3 linked regions of the Nothobranchius furzeri genome follow. The protein of the gene in region 1 binds, or shares a complex with, the protein of each later gene. Links are inferred from orthologs where the notes say so. Each region holds a gene or a part of one and is shown on either strand. Other genes may lie near its edges.

Evidence for each region.
Region 2: akap17a (region 1) and c17h9orf78 share a complex: the UniProt entries of both Homo sapiens proteins name them as parts of the spliceosome. The link is inferred for Nothobranchius furzeri from reciprocal best matches to the Homo sapiens genes AKAP17A and C9orf78.
Region 3: akap17a (region 1) and ppp1r8b share a complex: the UniProt entries of both Homo sapiens proteins name them as parts of the spliceosome. The link is inferred for Nothobranchius furzeri from reciprocal best matches to the Homo sapiens genes AKAP17A and PPP1R8.

The regions. Positions count from the first base shown.
Region 1 is NC_091754.1:16,998,546-17,004,659, reverse strand, and holds the start of akap17a (A-kinase anchor protein 17A), read left to right. Parts: upstream 1-2,112; 5' UTR 2,113-2,293; intron 2,294-5,710; 5' UTR 5,711-5,731; coding exon 5,732-6,058; intron 6,059-6,114. UniProt on the Homo sapiens protein: Splice factor regulating alternative splice site selection for certain mRNA precursors. Mediates regulation of pre-mRNA splicing in a PKA-dependent manner.
Region 2 is NC_091757.1:40,165,575-40,170,911, reverse strand, and holds c17h9orf78 (splicing factor C9orf78 homolog), read left to right. Parts: upstream 1-2,262; 5' UTR 2,263-2,361; coding exon 2,362-2,441; intron 2,442-2,597; coding exon 2,598-2,657; intron 2,658-2,796; coding exon 2,797-2,848; intron 2,849-2,935; coding exon 2,936-3,006; intron 3,007-3,124; coding exon 3,125-3,202; intron 3,203-4,017; coding exon 4,018-4,215; intron 4,216-4,290; coding exon 4,291-4,427; intron 4,428-4,501; coding exon 4,502-4,606; intron 4,607-4,710; coding exon 4,711-4,808; 3' UTR 4,809-5,147; downstream 5,148-5,337. Other genes in the region: NFU1 iron-sulfur cluster scaffold homolog, mitochondrial, read right to left, coding at 1,111-1,246, 1,442-1,542, 2,135-2,193. UniProt on the Homo sapiens protein: Plays a role in pre-mRNA splicing by promoting usage of the upstream 3'-splice site at alternative NAGNAG splice sites; these are sites featuring alternative acceptor motifs separated by only a few nucleotides. May also modulate exon inclusion events.
Region 3 is NC_091745.1:71,999,145-72,004,586, reverse strand, and holds the start of ppp1r8b (protein phosphatase 1, regulatory subunit 8b), read right to left. Parts: upstream 3,076-5,442; 5' UTR 2,870-3,075; coding exon 2,820-2,869; intron 2,369-2,819; coding exon 2,308-2,368; intron 2,084-2,307; exon of another isoform or gene 1,918-2,083; intron 1,869-1,917; coding exon 1,715-1,868; intron 1,624-1,714; coding exon 1,406-1,623; intron 1-1,405. Other genes in the region: protein THEMIS2, read left to right, coding at 5,008-5,107. UniProt on the Homo sapiens protein: Inhibitor subunit of the major nuclear protein phosphatase-1 (PP-1). It has RNA-binding activity but does not cleave RNA and may target PP-1 to RNA-associated substrates. May also be involved in pre-mRNA splicing.

The sequences.
Region 1 (6,114 bases):
GTTATTCTGCGGTGCTGAATCATGCGAGTCACTTTTGTCTTTCTTGATTCATTTAATTAAACGTTAAAGCAATAAACGTTTGCATCGATGTAAACTTCATTTATTTTACAGACCTCTATTGAGGTGACCTGTTTGCTGGCTCTCTGTGGTTGTCCCTGTGCGGCGGGGCTGAAAATTGATGATCTGATGACTCCGGACGCCAGCTTTGGAACAGCATTCACTGCAAATCCACGGCTTCCTGTTTCAAGCTGGTCAATGCAAAATATTTAAAGAGTTTTTCAGCGGCACCTTCGGATTGTTTAGTCAGAAACGTGGGCTCCTCTAGTGAAGTTGGGGGTTGTGTGTGAACCTTTTAATCGTGCTATTTTATAACCACATAATTGATATTAGATGCAAACAAGTGTGAGGCTTTTTTTTTTCTTCCAGGGATGCCGTGAGCCGCCTCGCTGACTGCTGATCGGGACAGAACAGAGAGGCTGTCTGACTGCAGCCACTGACCTACATACACACACACTGCCTGTTATGTAAATTCCTCTGCCATCTTTTCAGGGGAAACTGTGCCAACTTTGTCGCCCGGGGTCTTTTTAGAGTAATCCATGTCCAGTCCATCCACTTCTCCCACTTTTATATGGAATAGTCGTCATGGTGACCAGCAGTGCTAAATAGGCATTGAGCTTTTGTGACAAATAACCACGTCTTTTTTATTGGCTGGGTGATTCATAAAGCTTCAAAATGCACCTTAACACTAATTTAAAGAAAATGTTTATGTCATGCTCTGTGAAATATTCCTGATAAATTCCAGCCTTCTATTCAGAGGTCGTCGGTCCATCACAAAGCTGCACAGATGTACAGTATAGATTCACATGTAGGACCGGTTTAGTGTAGCTAACTAACCAAACATGTAAATTATTGGGCTGTGGGAGAAAACCAAAGAACAAACAAAAACATAAACATGCACGCAAACTTAATTTAAAGATTTAGAGCTATCAGCCACACCGCAGTGTGGTCCCTCTATTGGCTTATTTGGCTAAAATAGGTTATTTGTCTTCCATTAGCTCAATTTTCACATGTATTTGGACAAAACAGCATGACAAATGTGTTGTCTTTATTGTGCATTGCAAAAATATTTTTGCACTATTTTCAGCACAAAATTGTAATGGGATGAAAACAATGTAGCTAAATATGTCACAAACTATAGGTGAAGACCACTTTAAATGATTACTATAAAATATGACTAATTCTAAATAAAATGACATCAGATTGAACTGGTAAAAAATATGTATTTTGCACCACAGTGCAGGGGCATCTTCCATTGGCATCTTCCTCTTTAGAGGGCCAAAAGTTCAACAGTTACAGAAATCATTAAATAATTTATTAAATGTATCATTAAATTAAGTACAATCTGAAATACATGAACAGTTTATTCATTATACATTCTTTAAAAAAAGCACCGCACATAAAAGTATCTAATTTATTTTTGAAAGCATAAATAGTTCATGATTTTAATGTAACCATAAGGTTTCTAATACAGGTTTAATTTTTTTTTACTTGAAAAAACTTTTACATAAATCCATTTCTAAATCTTTTAACCTTCGGTTTGGGATCACAACTATGGAAGCCCATTCCCGCCACTCAGATAAAATAAAAAAAAATTATTATCTCATAATTATGACTTAGCTATCTCATAATAATGAGATACTATCTCATTATTATGACTTAGTATCTCATAATTATGACTTAGTATCTCATAATTATGACTTAGCTATCTCATTATTATGAGACAGTATCTCATTATTACGACTTAGTATCTCATAATTATGACTTAGCTATCTCATTATTATGAGATACTATCTCATTATTATGAGATAGCTAAGTCATAATTATGAGATAATAATTTTATTTTATTTTATCTGAGTGGCCGGAATGGGCTTCCATAGCTCTTGACCTGGAAACGTATTTATTTATGTTTCTTTCGGTCCTCCTTATTCTTCAATACGTTTGTTATAAACTCGACTAACTCTGACTGAACTGCGGTTTCTCTTTCAGACCAGATGGTGTCGCTGTTGCATAACTCCGCGACTGCGTCGTTGTCACACACACGTTGACTTTTTAAGAGGTCATAGTTCGGTGGATGCGGAACTAGCATGCAGTAGCAACCAAACATGTCTGTGGTAGCGACTTGGTGTACAGTTTTGTGCTTATACGGATAGTTTTTGCTCCGCAGTGATTTGCTCTGCTGGAAACCTCACGATATTTTTATCATTGTTTTTATCAGGATTCTAATTAATGTTGGGTAAGTTGTTGATAAATATTTAATAATTCGCGTCAGCACAGCGCTGGAAGCGGTTTTTGTGTTTTGCTTGTTTGAGCTAAAGCTAACTAGCTTCATATTAGATATGAAATTAGCTTGTCCACCAAGCTATTAACGAGCACCTAATGCTTTAAATGCCTTTTGCTAACTACTTGTTGATGGAACATTTTACAGTCTCGAGCTTGTTAGCCTCAGTTATTAGCATTGCATTCAGAGTTTGTTTTGCAAGTAACCTTGATGTTTAATACAACTTTTTCACCGGCTAAATATGTGTTGATAGTTTTAAATACGTTTCTTCTTCTATTGTGTTGTTAGTGCCCGATGTTGAAGGTATTTATTTATTAGGTACGGTTTGGCAAGACAATTTGTTTCAGTTGAACTGTGAATAAATATGTTTATTTTCAGTTAAATTTCAAAAGATATTTTAAGCCTATGAAAGACCAATGTAGTTATGCAGTTGTGGACTTTTTCTAATTCTCTTTATTATTTAGATACGGCATGAGGCCCGCCCCGTGTGTGTGACCATTTAGATGTTAATGAATTAAACTAAATTTATTTTCAAAATGAATGTAGAACAAGTAAACAAAATATAAGTTTGTAATAACAAATCAAGCTTGTTAAAGAGCAAGTCACCCCCATAACAATATTTTTTGCTGATAAACCAAATGAGTGTCTAACCGTGCTGTAGACACGTGTAGTCAGTAATTAATCACATTAGTGCATCTCAGTTAAAATTTTAATTTTCTGCCTTTAACAGTCTGTGTTGCGCCCTCATCAGGTAAAAACTGCACTGCATTTCAATTTAAACCTGCCATCCCTATTGGCTAAGAGGTACTGATGTTGTCAACTGGTACCATATGATGTCACAGTGCCACTGTGAGCCTGTATTTGTGTTAGTGGCTCCACTGGGGTTGGACGATGGGGTGAATTTTTCAACCGTCGGCAATGGGCTGAACCATTGCGATTTTTATTACTAGAGGCGATTTGTCTTATTTATTTATCAATGTGTTTTGCTGTGCATACATTTGTTAATGACAGATATTTTACACGTTGCGCACAGACAACATAGCAGCGGGATGAAAAAAAAGATCTCCATCAGTGCATCAGAGCATTATTTCTCACTTATTCCGCATCTTGCTGCTTACATGGCGCGCTGAATAGGAGCTGGGAGTGTCTGTGATGCAATAAACATCGTGCAAAAGAACACAGTGTTGAGTGGAAAGTGGAAACTTTTCTTTCAGAGAGTCTGGAAGACTTATGGTTATTTAATTTGGAGAGATGTTTCCTGATTTTAAAACTTTGGCCTAAAGGCACAGGCACACCGGAGATGGATGAGCTGCATCGTGCCCGCTCCGTAGTTTTAAATAGAAGCCATTATAGTTAATGACAGTGGCTACGCGAAGAGCGCCGCGTTGATCCTAACGTATTCTAATAAATAGCGTACTTACTAGGGTTGTCATGGTAACCGGTGTAGCGGTAAACCTCGGTAAAAAAGTTGACAGTAATAATAACCGTCTTGTTTTTAAAAAATCTATATTATCTCTGTGGGTTTACCGTGGCTGCGGTGTAGGCGCGGTGACCCTTATCAGTCACCGTATCATCTGCTGAAGTTGCCTGGCGCGCTTTATTGTTTACAACCAAAACTTTCTTGAAGCTAAAGCTGAAATAATGGCCAAGGGAGGAGACGGCAGCACTCAGGAGGACATTTTTTATCCCTCAAAGAAGACAAAGTGGGAAGTACGGGCATCTTTTGGATATTTGAAGAATGCCGAGAGACAGCTGATAGAAGACGGCTATCCTGTTTGCAGTACATGCAGAAAAAGTATCTGTGAAAGGCAGCAACGCTTCAAATCTCATGACACATCTGCGTGACCATCACCCACAACTCTACAGTCAACGCAAGGCAAGCTAACATTAGCGTTTTAGCTAAAATGCGTGGTCCGAGGATTTGGGTCGAGGGAGAATGCAACGAGTCGCTATATAAAGCAGCCGCAGCGCCGCTACCTGCATATAAACCGTGTCACGGACACCCCCATGTTGAAATGACGCTATGCATTACGGGGCTCCCAGGGGCAGATAAGAGTTGGTCTCTCTCCGAGAATAATTATGAATTTAACAATGATTACTGCCTGATGACATTTTCCCACATCTGCAAAGCTCACTGGAAGGACACAAACCGAGGACAATATTTTCCTGATATAGGGTTTATTACTCAAGTAAGGGTAAAAAAGTATCTGATTAGAAGGCTGCTTGAGTACTGAGTATCATCTGATCTAATATTTTTAAATGATGACATCAAACAGACATAAAACAAGAAGTTATGGTCGAATATTGGTATTTTAAAGACTAAAGGGAAAAAATGTAAACAAATAAACAACATAATTACAAAATAACACATTTAGGCAAAATTTAGACACAAACTGAGGACAATATTTCCTGACATACAGGGTTTATTTAATTGTGTGAAAATGTAGCACGTTTAAAAAAATACCGCGATAATACCGAAAACCGTGGTAATTTTGGTCACAATAACCGTGAGGTTAAATTTCACACCGTGACAACCCTAGTGCTTACCCATATTTAATAAATTAGTCTCACAAAACATGACGGCAAGTTTGATCACATATAAACAATAGTCACTTCCCCCTTCCTGTTCTCAAATCCCACGTGATGTTGTGACTGATTGTTATTTCAAAAATGAAAGTGACGGGGATAACTGGATCATGTGACCTCTGGCTGCAATGCTCTCTACTAAGAGGCCGTCCAACTGCAGCAGCAATTAATTTCATTTCTCAGTCATAAAAGAAAGAAACCCAGTAGCCTTTGTTCAGGGAAAAAAAAAACCTTTTGCTTAAATAAAATACCCCAATAGTGGCACCGCAGAGAAGCAAAGACGAGGCTTCTTTTTAACATTTTAACTGTGTTTAATACGAGCTGTTTATACGTCACTCTACCAAACTACAAATACAAAATTAAATAAAAAGAAAAATCAAACTTTCTCCTTCAGCAAACATTTGCAAAAAAAAACCCAAGTGTTTGTACTTCTATTGTAATCAGTCATGACGTTGCTCAGAGTCACATGCACAAATAGATCGCCCATCGTCATTTATTGGACTGACTATTGGCAGTGGCAAAAATTGTACAAATCGCCCAACCCTAGGCTCCGCCCTCTCGGTCTGTCAGCCAACAGCATTTCTTGCATTTTTCAAATATGAACTGGGAGTGGAGTAAGACTCTGGTAGGGGGTGACTTGCTCTTTAAACTCCCATCAGTTTCAATTTTGCAAAAGAGAAAAACAACAAAAATATATTTTAATGATTATTAGTCATATTTAATCCTGACCGTTTGAGAATTTCCCAGAAAACTTTTTTATTGTTTTATTAATATTTTGTTTCCCAGCATCTGCGTACTTTAGGAGGAATGACCACCATCGTCCACGACACCACAGAGGCAGTGTGTCTGTCTGCTGAGTACAACCTGTACCTGAAGCCCATTGCCAAAATGACCGTCAGTGTAGCTTTGCCTCAGCTCAAGCTGCCAGGCAAGAGCATCTCCAACTGGGAGGTGATGGAGAGGGTAAAGGCCATGGTGGCTCCAGAGCAGTTTTCAGCTCTGCGTATCTCCAAGAGCACTTTGGACTTCATCCGCTTTGAGGGTGAAGTGGAAAACAAGACGGTGGTCAAGAGTCTGCTGAGTCGTCTGGATGGAAAAACCATCAAACTCAGTGGATTTACTGATGTCCTGAAGGTAAAGCTGACACTCACTGCTGTGTGGGTCCTTTTTAGTTTTAATTTTTTCTTTTA
Region 2 (5,337 bases), on another chromosome or scaffold:
CTTTGACATTTGTGGATATTTCATAATACAGTTATAAAATATAATAATATTTGCTAAAAGTATGTTTACAAATGCCCATTTAGCTAACAAGGCAGCAACTTAGTTTGAAATGTTTAAAATGGCAACTGTAGACAAAACATACAAGTGATTATATTTGGCTCACCATTTAGCAATTTTTGTCTCTTTCTTGCCCCCAATGACGATAAACACTTATAAAGAGTTACAGATGAATTAATTTCAACATATTTATTAACATTTACCAATCATTTATAAGGGGTGCCTTATTGTAAAGTGGTACCAACAATTATTTGGGGTTAGTTTGGAAAAATCCACCATTTCAAAGAAATAAGAAAACAAAGTACCGAAAAACTAATACCTGACTCTTAATTAGAGCTTGGTTTCAAAACTTGGTGCCTCTTCAGTCCGAAAATACTTAGTAGGTATTGGTATATTTTTGGTGCTAGACGTTGTGGTTTTGGCTTGGTTCAAAGTTAGCAGCCCTCTGCGGGCCCCTGGTGGCCCTATGCAATGCATGCCCTGCTTATTAACACACAATGCATCTATTTGAGCCGAAGTATGCACTGTCTTTAATCGTGAAAAAATAAAATAAAATAAATAAAAGCTGACCCGAGTCTACAACCTTTGTCCTCTGCTGCATCAACAGCAACAAGAAAAATAGCCAGGTCTCATGTTTACAGTGTACATAGTTTATCTCTTATTTACATTGTATGTTTATTCATTTTGTATTTATTTTGGGATCTAAATATTTTTATTTCATGTTTTTAGAGAAGATGTTTCATATGTCTTGCACCAAAGAATATATAATAGTTGCACTTTATTTTCATACTGTTAACCTTTGCTTTGTACTAAAAGCTAAATACTACCTTTTCCTATTTATAAACTGTATATATATATAAACTATTACATTTTTAAGATGACAGTAAAAAATGTTGCTTCCACCATTTAGACAAGCCTCTCTCAGTTAAGTGGATACAATATGCATATATTGGCAAACATACAACAAGGTACCCCCTGGTACAGAGTTTGCTCAGAGTAAGGAAACAACTTGATATGTTAATATGAGATTAGTAATCTTGTATTAGGAAATACCTGGCTAAAGGTGAGCAGTAAGCATCACGAGGGCCTGCAAAATTCATGGTTCCCTCTTCGAGAACTGTCCGCCCAGGCAAAAACTTTAGACTGTTTGGATTTGGAGTATCCTGTGTCTGCACAAACATGGACCTTCCTGTAACATAAAAAATGTAATGCAAATTTTTAAAAAGGGCTACAAGAGAATTGTGGTCATTTTCTGCATGTGCAGAATGCCCGATTTTCTCACAACACCTAAGCATCTGACATCACTGTGGAAAACGTGACAATAAAAGACAATCACTCTTATTTAATAAAAAGTCACACTAGAGGTTGCAGCAAATAAACAAACCAGGAACAGTCCAGAAGGGGTTTTGTGGCCATCTGTTTGAAACTCCAGTAGCTTGCGAGGGCCAGTGGAATCCATTGCTCTGACATCCACTGCCAACAAGACTGAAAATAATGAACAGATAAACAGTAATATAAAAAAAACATTCTTTATTATAAAAAATATTATGCTGTTGTGTGTAGGGACGATTTCTTTACCGTCACTAAAATGTGGCAATAATAAGACGGGTAAACTCCTGTTTAGAAGATGTGCGAACAAGCTCCTACACTGAACAGGAACACCAAATCAAATACAAATGCTATAACTAAGGAAAGCAAAACATTAATAAAAAGGCAATGGCGCGATGACAGAGTTGTTTCAGCACGCTTTAAAAACGCGTTCTGCACATTTGTTCTGGTGATTTGTATTTTTTCCCCTACTAAATAAAAATGATCAAAAAGATGGATGCAAGATAAAAATTTATTACATTTATGCAGGTTTGTTTAGTGTTAATTTTACTTTAAGGGCATTTTTGATGGGAAAAAACATCGTAATGAAACATTCCTCGTTTCCAGACCTAATGTTTAGTCTGCGTCATTCCACACTAAACCAACAAGCTTAAACACAGTCGCATAGAAATGACTCACATGTTGCAAAAAGTAAAAGAAAAAAAATTAAACACAATAGAAGGTAAAATCCTGCAAAATATCCACTTACGGTCGTGAAAGTCTAGCAGAAATCCCCAACAACCCGCTAACGTGTTTATAAGCCGCCATGATTGTTATGGTTGTGATCCTTCAAGAAGAACGGAAGTAGATTATACTTTTCCGGAAGTGACGAATATTTTTGTACGTCTGTTAAAGTTTCCCCCCGAAATTATCAGCGTCAAGCTTACGCGCAGTAAGGCGCTGCTTCTTCAAATATTTACGTTAAACTATCTAAATATGCCTTGTGGTAGGCATTTTAGAAGAAGACAAGATTCGTCGGATGATGAAGAGGAGGATGAAACAACAGAAGAAGTCAGGTAAAATACTCGAACAACGAGTTGTTAAGATATATGTTGTGTTAGCAAACTAGCCGCTAACCCAAAATTAAAGTAACAGAACGCCATTGTTGTTAGTTGTATTTTAATAAGCTGCCTACCTAAATATGTTTGTGCTTTTGTATTTTTTTTTCTTAGATCAAAAGTAGAAGAGGCTAAAGAACTTCAGAGTTTGAGGAAACGACAGAGCGGAGTCAGGTAACATGTTAATATGAATGTAGAATGGAAGACATCTTTATTATGTAGCACGTTTCACACAGAAGCAATTAGTTGTGCTTAATGTCAATACTTAACTGCTTGGATGTGAATTAACTTACACCTTTTACTTTTTGTCTAGTGTGACAGCTTTATTGGTGGGAGAGAAACTGCCTCCAGAAGTCGAAATTGATGTAAGTTTTCTTTGGAAAAAAAAATGTGTGTGTGTGTTGAATAGCAACATGTTGAACGTTTACTTTTTTATTGATCACTTCTGACAGAATGATCCTTTCAAACTGAAGACGGGAGGAGTTGTAGACATGAAGAAAGTGAAAGACAGGAATAGAGACATGTGAGTCAAGTTTTCCACCCTCAGGTGCAACATAGATACCTGCCTGAATGCTTTGTACAATTAAACCAAATCCAGTTAATCGGATATGACTGACTCATCCAGGATGATTCATTAACAGGACAGAAGATGAAACCGACCTCAGCCTGGGCACTTCATTCTCCGCCGAGACCAACAGAAGGGATGAAGATGCAGACATGTGAGCTTTTCTTTAAACTGTATTATAATCATTTCCTCTTCAGACTCAACATTGTCCAACCTCTATTTAAATTGTGCTCTGTTTTTTTCCTCTCTAACGGAAATTTCTGACTTTTGAGATAATTTTTCTCATGTCAAGAAATTCAATAATAAAAAAATTAAGAGGTGTGTGTAGGTCGTCAACATTCATGTCCCTTTAAGAAGCTGTACCACCCTGAGCCAAAATGTGACTCAACCTAACACATGTGACAGCCCCATCTAGGCCATATCGCCCAGCCCTAAAAGGAAGGTGTTCAGTTGATTTCCTCCGTCTGGCAAAAAATATTCCATCATACATAATAAAGTTGAATTTCCACAAAGAAAACAAATTAAAAACAAGTTTGGTCCAACAATGGCTGCCCTGGACAAGAAATAACACTGGTGTTTACCTGGGTTTTCATCTCTTTAAACAACTAAAATAGTGTCAGTATTTGTCAGAAATCAAATTTTGCTCAACAAAACAATTTATGCACCAACCCCTGAATTAACCAGCTGTTAATGTTGACTGTAAAATCAGTCAAACTACAAAGACTGCTTTTGTCTGAGATGAAATGGTGTTGGAACTTTTGTTAGCATGTTACTGGCTGGCTTCATTCAGCATTTTAAGAAAAGGCTTTTTATTCTACTAAAGAAAGTTGGAAAAGCAATCTCAATTCTTGAATTACATGAACTTTGTTACTAAATATTTAAGTATCTACAAGTTAGTATTCAAAATCTTAACGTAGCTGCCATCCAGTTGTTCGTGTGGGACATTTCCCATTGTGTTTTTCTTTACAGGATGAAATATATTGAGACAGAGTTAAAAAAGAAGAAAGGCCTGGTGGAGGCTGAGGAACAGAAAATTAAGGTGAAAAATGCAGAGGACCACCTGTACGAACTTCCTGAGAACATCCGAGTGAACTCTGCCAAGAAGACAGAGGAGATGTTGTCCAATCAGATGCTGAGTGGGATCCCGGAGGTTGACCTTGGCATTGAGTAAATTCAGAAGATTCTTTAATAATTCAGCTCTTTTTATTTTACTCAAATTAATCCCTGTCGTTTCATTCTCAGTGCAAAGATTAAAAACATTATCCAGACAGAAGAGGCAAAAGCCAAACTTCTGGCAGAGCAAAGGAACAAGAAGAAAGACCTCGGGACGTCGTTTGTTCCCACGAATATTGCTGTTAATTATGTCCAACATAACCGCTGTGAGTTCAGGCTGTCTGCATCCGTTCCAGCTAGAGGAGAAAAGTTTGTTAATCATGCTTTTGTTTTCTTTTAGTCTACCATGAGGATGCAAATGCACCACAAAGGCACAACAGACACAGAGAAGAGCCCAAAGCAAGACCGCTGCGAGTGGGCGACACAGAGAAGCCAGGCCCAGAGGGTACGAGACACGACCACACAGTCACAGATACAAACCAAAAACACTTTTTGGTTCCTTTTTTCCAGAAACCAAAACCTGTACTCGTTTCTTTTGTCTGTCCGTAGCTCCGTCGCCACCGAACCCACGCAAACGTCCAAACAACGAGAAGGCCACGGATGACTACCACTACGAGAAGTTTAAGAAGATGAACCGAAGATATTAAAAAGTTGCATCTGTTTCCTCCACACAATGGCATCTGAAAATGTGAGCCGTTGCTAATTATTATTGAAAACATTTGTTGACCAAAATGTTGAAGCTCCAGATTTGTGTGATTTCCTGTTTGGTTTTTCAAACAAGTCAGCAGCTTTAGCTTCACTCTAAGTCTACAGTATTTTAGAGCTGGCTGTTCAATTATTAAGTGTGTAAAAATATATCTCGGTTTGTTTTTTTAAAACAAGAACCATACTAAAGTTTAAAAGTGATGCACTTAGCTAATGAGATGGAATAACTAGAGCAGCTGCTTGAAAATGAGACGTTAAGCAATAAAAAACCCAAAGCTGAACTGTTGGCTGCCATGTTTATCTTAAAAATAAAAAGTAGCTAATTTAAGTGGTTTACATGTAAACAAAGAACTGTAAGTATTCTGCTTTGAGCTAAATTTAATGTAAATGTCGTTTTTTTTAAATACTTTTTAATGCAAACCAAGAGGAACATTACTAATTTAGGTTTCAATAACAAAATAATTCAGATTT
Region 3 (5,442 bases), on another chromosome or scaffold:
CTTCCTTTCAACTTGAAGCTTAATAAACAAAGTCAAAATGCTGAAAAATCAACAGTAAAAAGCAAACAAACAAAAAAAAAAAGAAAATTGGAGATGTCGGGAAAAAATGTGGTGCAGTTAACTCATTCACTGCCAATGACGTCGTCATTTGCATTTTTTTACTGTTTGAGCATCGGCACGAGCCCCCGCCCTGAGAGAACAAACATCTCAGCCCTGAAGCTGATCTTCATCCGCATACGTCACATATCACGTGATCAGGAAGCAGAACATCCATGTGTTAGGAGATCGTTTTGGGCCGTTCCTGTAAAAAAAAGTGAGGCGCGAACCGGAAAAGCGTCTGCCGATCACAATTCGACAACGGATTATGAAAGAACGGATAATGCTCGAAACACACGGCTTCTTCCTGATGTAAGAGGTGAGTCTCCTCTTTGTTTTTGGTTGTTTTGGCATTGACATCATGCTAGCGCGCAACGTTCTGTGACTCTTAAAAAAAATCATAAAAATGGTGAGAAACGCTGGCAGCGAAGGCCGTTACCCCCAAATTCCACTACCTCCATTCCGCTCTGGTCCGGTCCGCCCCGCCTTCCGCAGCCGCTCGCTTCCAAACTCAATTTTTACTGGTACCCGCTCTACAACGGCTCCGCTCCGGTGCGGAGACCTGAGGTGGGCAAACAAGCATGCACGGGATTTTCGAGATCTTGCGATACAGTCCGAGCAATAAACGCGGAAGTTAGATCCAAACACCCGTTGTGTGGGAGAAGCATCGGCATGAACTGTTTAATCTGCCCATCATTTGTGTTGAGAGATCAGCAGTGTTTGGATGAACAAAGTGTGACTACTTTGATAGTAGAAACTGTATTTATGGCTTACTTTTGTGCATTTAAACTTCAGCCGCCACTGATAGTTGTTAAAAGTTGTTAAACCTGTGCATATGAAACAAAAAACGCCTTTTTTTATCGATTTATTGTGAAAAACGGAAGTTGTGCTTGCTCCTTTTCCTGTTGGGCGGTTGTGATTTCTGTCCATTTACTGCGGAGGTGCTCCGGCGTCCGGCGAAAATAGGATCGATTCTATTTTTGCCGGACGCCGGAACAGAGGGCAGCGCACTGCGCCGCATTGCCGGAGCACGGCCGCAGTAGTGGAATTGCTCTGATTGACTACAACGGGACCGATTTTGCTCCGGCGTTCGTGTCGGAGCGGAGGTAGTGGAATTTGGGGGTAAGTGATCAGGAAACGGCTGGCAGTGAGTGAGTTAAAAAACCAAACACACTGAGATCATTTCACACTGTGGCTAATTTGCATACAAATAATTCCATTAAGATGCCACAAGCGCAAAACAGGATGTCAAAACAAGTCAAGAGTAACAAGCGGCGAGTCAGTGGAGCTGATCTGAATTCTAACAAACCTCCAACTCTGTCTCTTCCTCCGGAAGCCCGAGCAGTCCTTTTAGCTCCTCCTCATCTCCTGTCTTACTGTCGCCGGTGCCAGCGCTTCCTTGGGTTTGGGGTTTTTCTCTGATGGTGTAGGTACGTGTTGACGCCCCGAAGGATATTGTAGAGTCGATTGGAACCTGCTGAGGCTTGTGAGGCTCAAGGCGAATGTGTCCGAGGAAGGTACCATGTGCTTAAATTGTAAAAAAATAATAATAATTAGGATTAATACATTAAAAGAGCAGAGTGACTGAGAAATAATTAAAGTGTTTGTGAAATCTTACTGCTATTAAGATCTATAAGGAAGAGCCTTTTTAGGTGTTTATGGTAGACTAGAGCGGCGTGAACACGCGAGCACGACTGATGGTCGATGGTGAAGTCACACCAGTCGGGGTTCCTACCAAACAGGTAGAACTTCTTTTCATCTATGATCAGTTTCTACAAGGAGAAACGGATGGTGTGAATTAGTAATGGCGTACATTAATGCATTTGTGCCTCTGAGTTATAACTCAACAGTGTTGCTTTCCACTGAAGGGCTTAAATCTCAGGGCTGATGTTGTTCTCGCACCTTTTGAAGCCATGCAGTCATAGGTTAACCCCATTGTGCAACACGCACAGGGCGGAGCAGACTGTCAGGCTTGTATCTGGTGCTTTTAACATTTGTACAATAGTAACAATCACATGTGTGTTCTGCTATGTGGAAAACAGAATCATTAGATGTTTAAAATAATAAGGAATGACATTTTATTGTGGAATTTGCTTATGTTTAAGAGATTAAACAAATCTGGATTTTTAACTTAGAAATTAAATAGAACTGAGATAATTAAAGCTGATTTTAAAGAGTCCAAACTAAATAACAGTTTAAATTTCCAGTTACCTCAACCAGTTTGTCTCCTTTCATCACGTCTAAGTGCAGTCCTGTGGGCGGTTTTCCTCCCCTATAAGAAACAATTAGAGACTTATTTAAACACTGAACTGATCTCAGAAAATACAGCAGTGCATAAATATATTTACAGCATATTTAACCATTTTATAATCTAATTTTAATTCATTTATTCAAACATTTAGCTCTTTTCACTCGAACCGAATACTTCAAGAGCATATCTGTCAAAAAATGTCCTGCTGTCACCTCTATACGTTTCAACTAGGTGAGAAACTTTTAAAATCAAGCCTTTCATTCATTTTCAAGCAGAAAGCAAACCGTGATCCGCATTTAGGCTAGCCTTGTAGGAGGGGTTAGCCTGCTAGCTCGATTGGATGCTAACGCTAACGAACTTCTTTCCTCTATAAAAGTTACAATTGTTAACGTAACAACGTCGTTTTGCTCGTTTGCACATAATCAAGCGCTGCAGTTGGTATTTTAGTACTTCAACATGTGCATTTTCTCACCATGATGGGCAGTCAAAAGGTGGACCGTCTTTGCTTGTTTTAGCTGCCATCTTCCCTCTACATGTTAACGATGCATTTTGGGTAATTGTCGCTTAGGAATGCTGGGAAATGTAGTCCGGTAATAGACCACGCCATATTAAAAAAAAGTAAAAGTACAAAAAACAAGCTAATATTTCGCATTTATAGATGTGGTTGTGTGTGGAACTTATATATTGTTGAGTTTATGATTAAATTCGGGTTTTAGAGTTAGTATGAAGTAGTCTACTAAAAATAATAAAGAAAAAAGTTCAGGTAAGTCACATTTATAGTTCATAAAAAACACTAATTTTATCATCACAAATCTACTACTGTGTGTAAAGTTGCAATTTGTTATCAAAAGAGAACATTAACGCGCAACAGGGGCGGAAACAGCTACTCACCTAATAATGATTAAATAAAAACAAATTATATAATTTCAGTCCAATTCTGTTAATATTAAAACAATAGACCTTAAATGATAAGTTTTTCTTTATACTGGAAAGATAATGTACATCATAACAACATAGTTTTGTTTAATGTAAACTGATTCTGTTTATATGTTTCAGACAGATGGAGGTGACAAATTTTACTTTTACTTAAGCAGCTTCTCTTCAGCCCAACAAAAACACAAATCAAGCACACGCAAGGGTGCCCCCAAGGGTGGCCAGGGGTGGCCATGGCCACCCCTAGAAAACAGCTTTTTAGTGCATTTTGTGTGACACAGCCAGATGTTTTTATTTTAAAACTTTTAACCTTTATTTAACAAGACAAAGTATTTCTTACAACTGTGGCCAATCCAAAGGTAGTGCCTTTTGACAGAAGGATGGGCTAAATTGCAAAAGTTACCTTTTCCACAAAAACAAAACAAAAACAATATTTTACAAGAACATCTAGATTGAGATGACTTACGGTTTTCTGTTTGAATAATTTAAGTAGCCCAAGACATTTGAGCAGATTCATTCAGATGATAATTTTAAAAGCCACTATTTTATTATTTGATAAAACCAGGCCATTTGTTTAACCAACAAGGATTTATCTCAAAGTCCATTTAGAAATGTTCATTAAAAAAAATTAACATTAAAAATTTGTTTGGTGTTTTTTAATGTTTCAAATAAGAAAAAAAAATGTCCTTTTTGTTTTAAGAGATATTAACATGTATTTGTCAAAAATGTGGCTTTTATAAAATTTAAAGTTCCTAAAGAAACCACTGGAGGTCTCTGAACTCCAAATTGCAAATTCTCAGTAAAGACCCAAAAAATAAAGTTTTGAAAAAGTTTGAAATGTTGGTTTGGAAACAGCGATACCACAAGCCTCCTACAGCATTTGTTACAAAGATTCAGCACCTAGAGTTTAACACAGAAAAGGGATGAATAAGTAGCCAGATTCGACTGACGCTTTGCTTATTTTCTCTTTCTGATTTGTAAACTGTGGGTTTGAGGGTCATAGGCTTCGGTCTTGTCATAGAAAAAGTAAAGCTGCCATACTTTTAGTTTCTCTTTAAAGCAGAAGGAAATGAGCCTGCAGTCTTTTTGTCCTTTTACAAATAAACTAATGCCATCAAAGTTCCCTTATAAATGATAAAACACAAAAAAGAACATGTTTGGGTAAGGTGCCTTTGATCATTCATTGGTTGAAAACATAGTTTGTCACAGGAAACATGTTAGACAAAACTGGTATGACTAAAATTAACCTATTTGATGTATCCAGGTGAGTCACATGAGAGTTTTTAGGTTATGTTCCTAGTTTGTGTTTTTCTTTCAGTTATTTGCAACAGAACAAGTCACATTCATCACACTTTATTTCCAATCATCCACTTCTTTCTAATCTGGCAATGACGTGTTTTTCATTTAGCTACTGGTACAAACCAAGAACCAATCTTAGCCTTGCAGTAACTTTTGTTTTAACAGTGAATTTTTTACATTTCAATTGGCTCCACAACAATAAGCTGCTGTCAACGATTTTTAAAATCACAAATCTTGACAGTAAAACAGGGCCTCCGTCATAACTCATAAACTTCCCCCCTCCCTTAAAAATGAAAAATGTTGTGCAAAAGCTCCTGTCACTTCCTCATATACTTTTGTGGTTTTGCTAGAAGCGCAACTCCTTTTTAGCTGCAGTCGTCATTTAACACTTGTCTTCAGTCTTATTTCGACTCGCCGAGGCAGCAACCATGGCAGGCATTGCTTTGCCGCTTCAAGATTTTATTGCATCGCTGGATCCCAGCAGTTTACCGAAAATTCTACAGATTTGCTCTGGAGTCTATTTCCAAGGTGGGTTTTATTTATTTATTTATTTATTTATTTATTTATTTATTTAGTTATGTATTTAGATCTGTTTTAAGATCATTATGATTTTATGACTTTATGATTAATTTTGTTTTGATTTCAATGAAGCCCCTTGTGATTCTTTGTCTGTGATGAGTGCTATATAAATAAGATTTACTTATTTATTAAGATAATAAAGGTACAAATTTCTGAGTATAGGAATGTAAAGATCAAACATTGTGTTTCCTAGCTAAATTAGTCACATTTATTATGATTAAAATTTTCATAATCATAAAAAACTTCATCATCGAGGCACATTTGGGAACTTTTATATGCCTGAC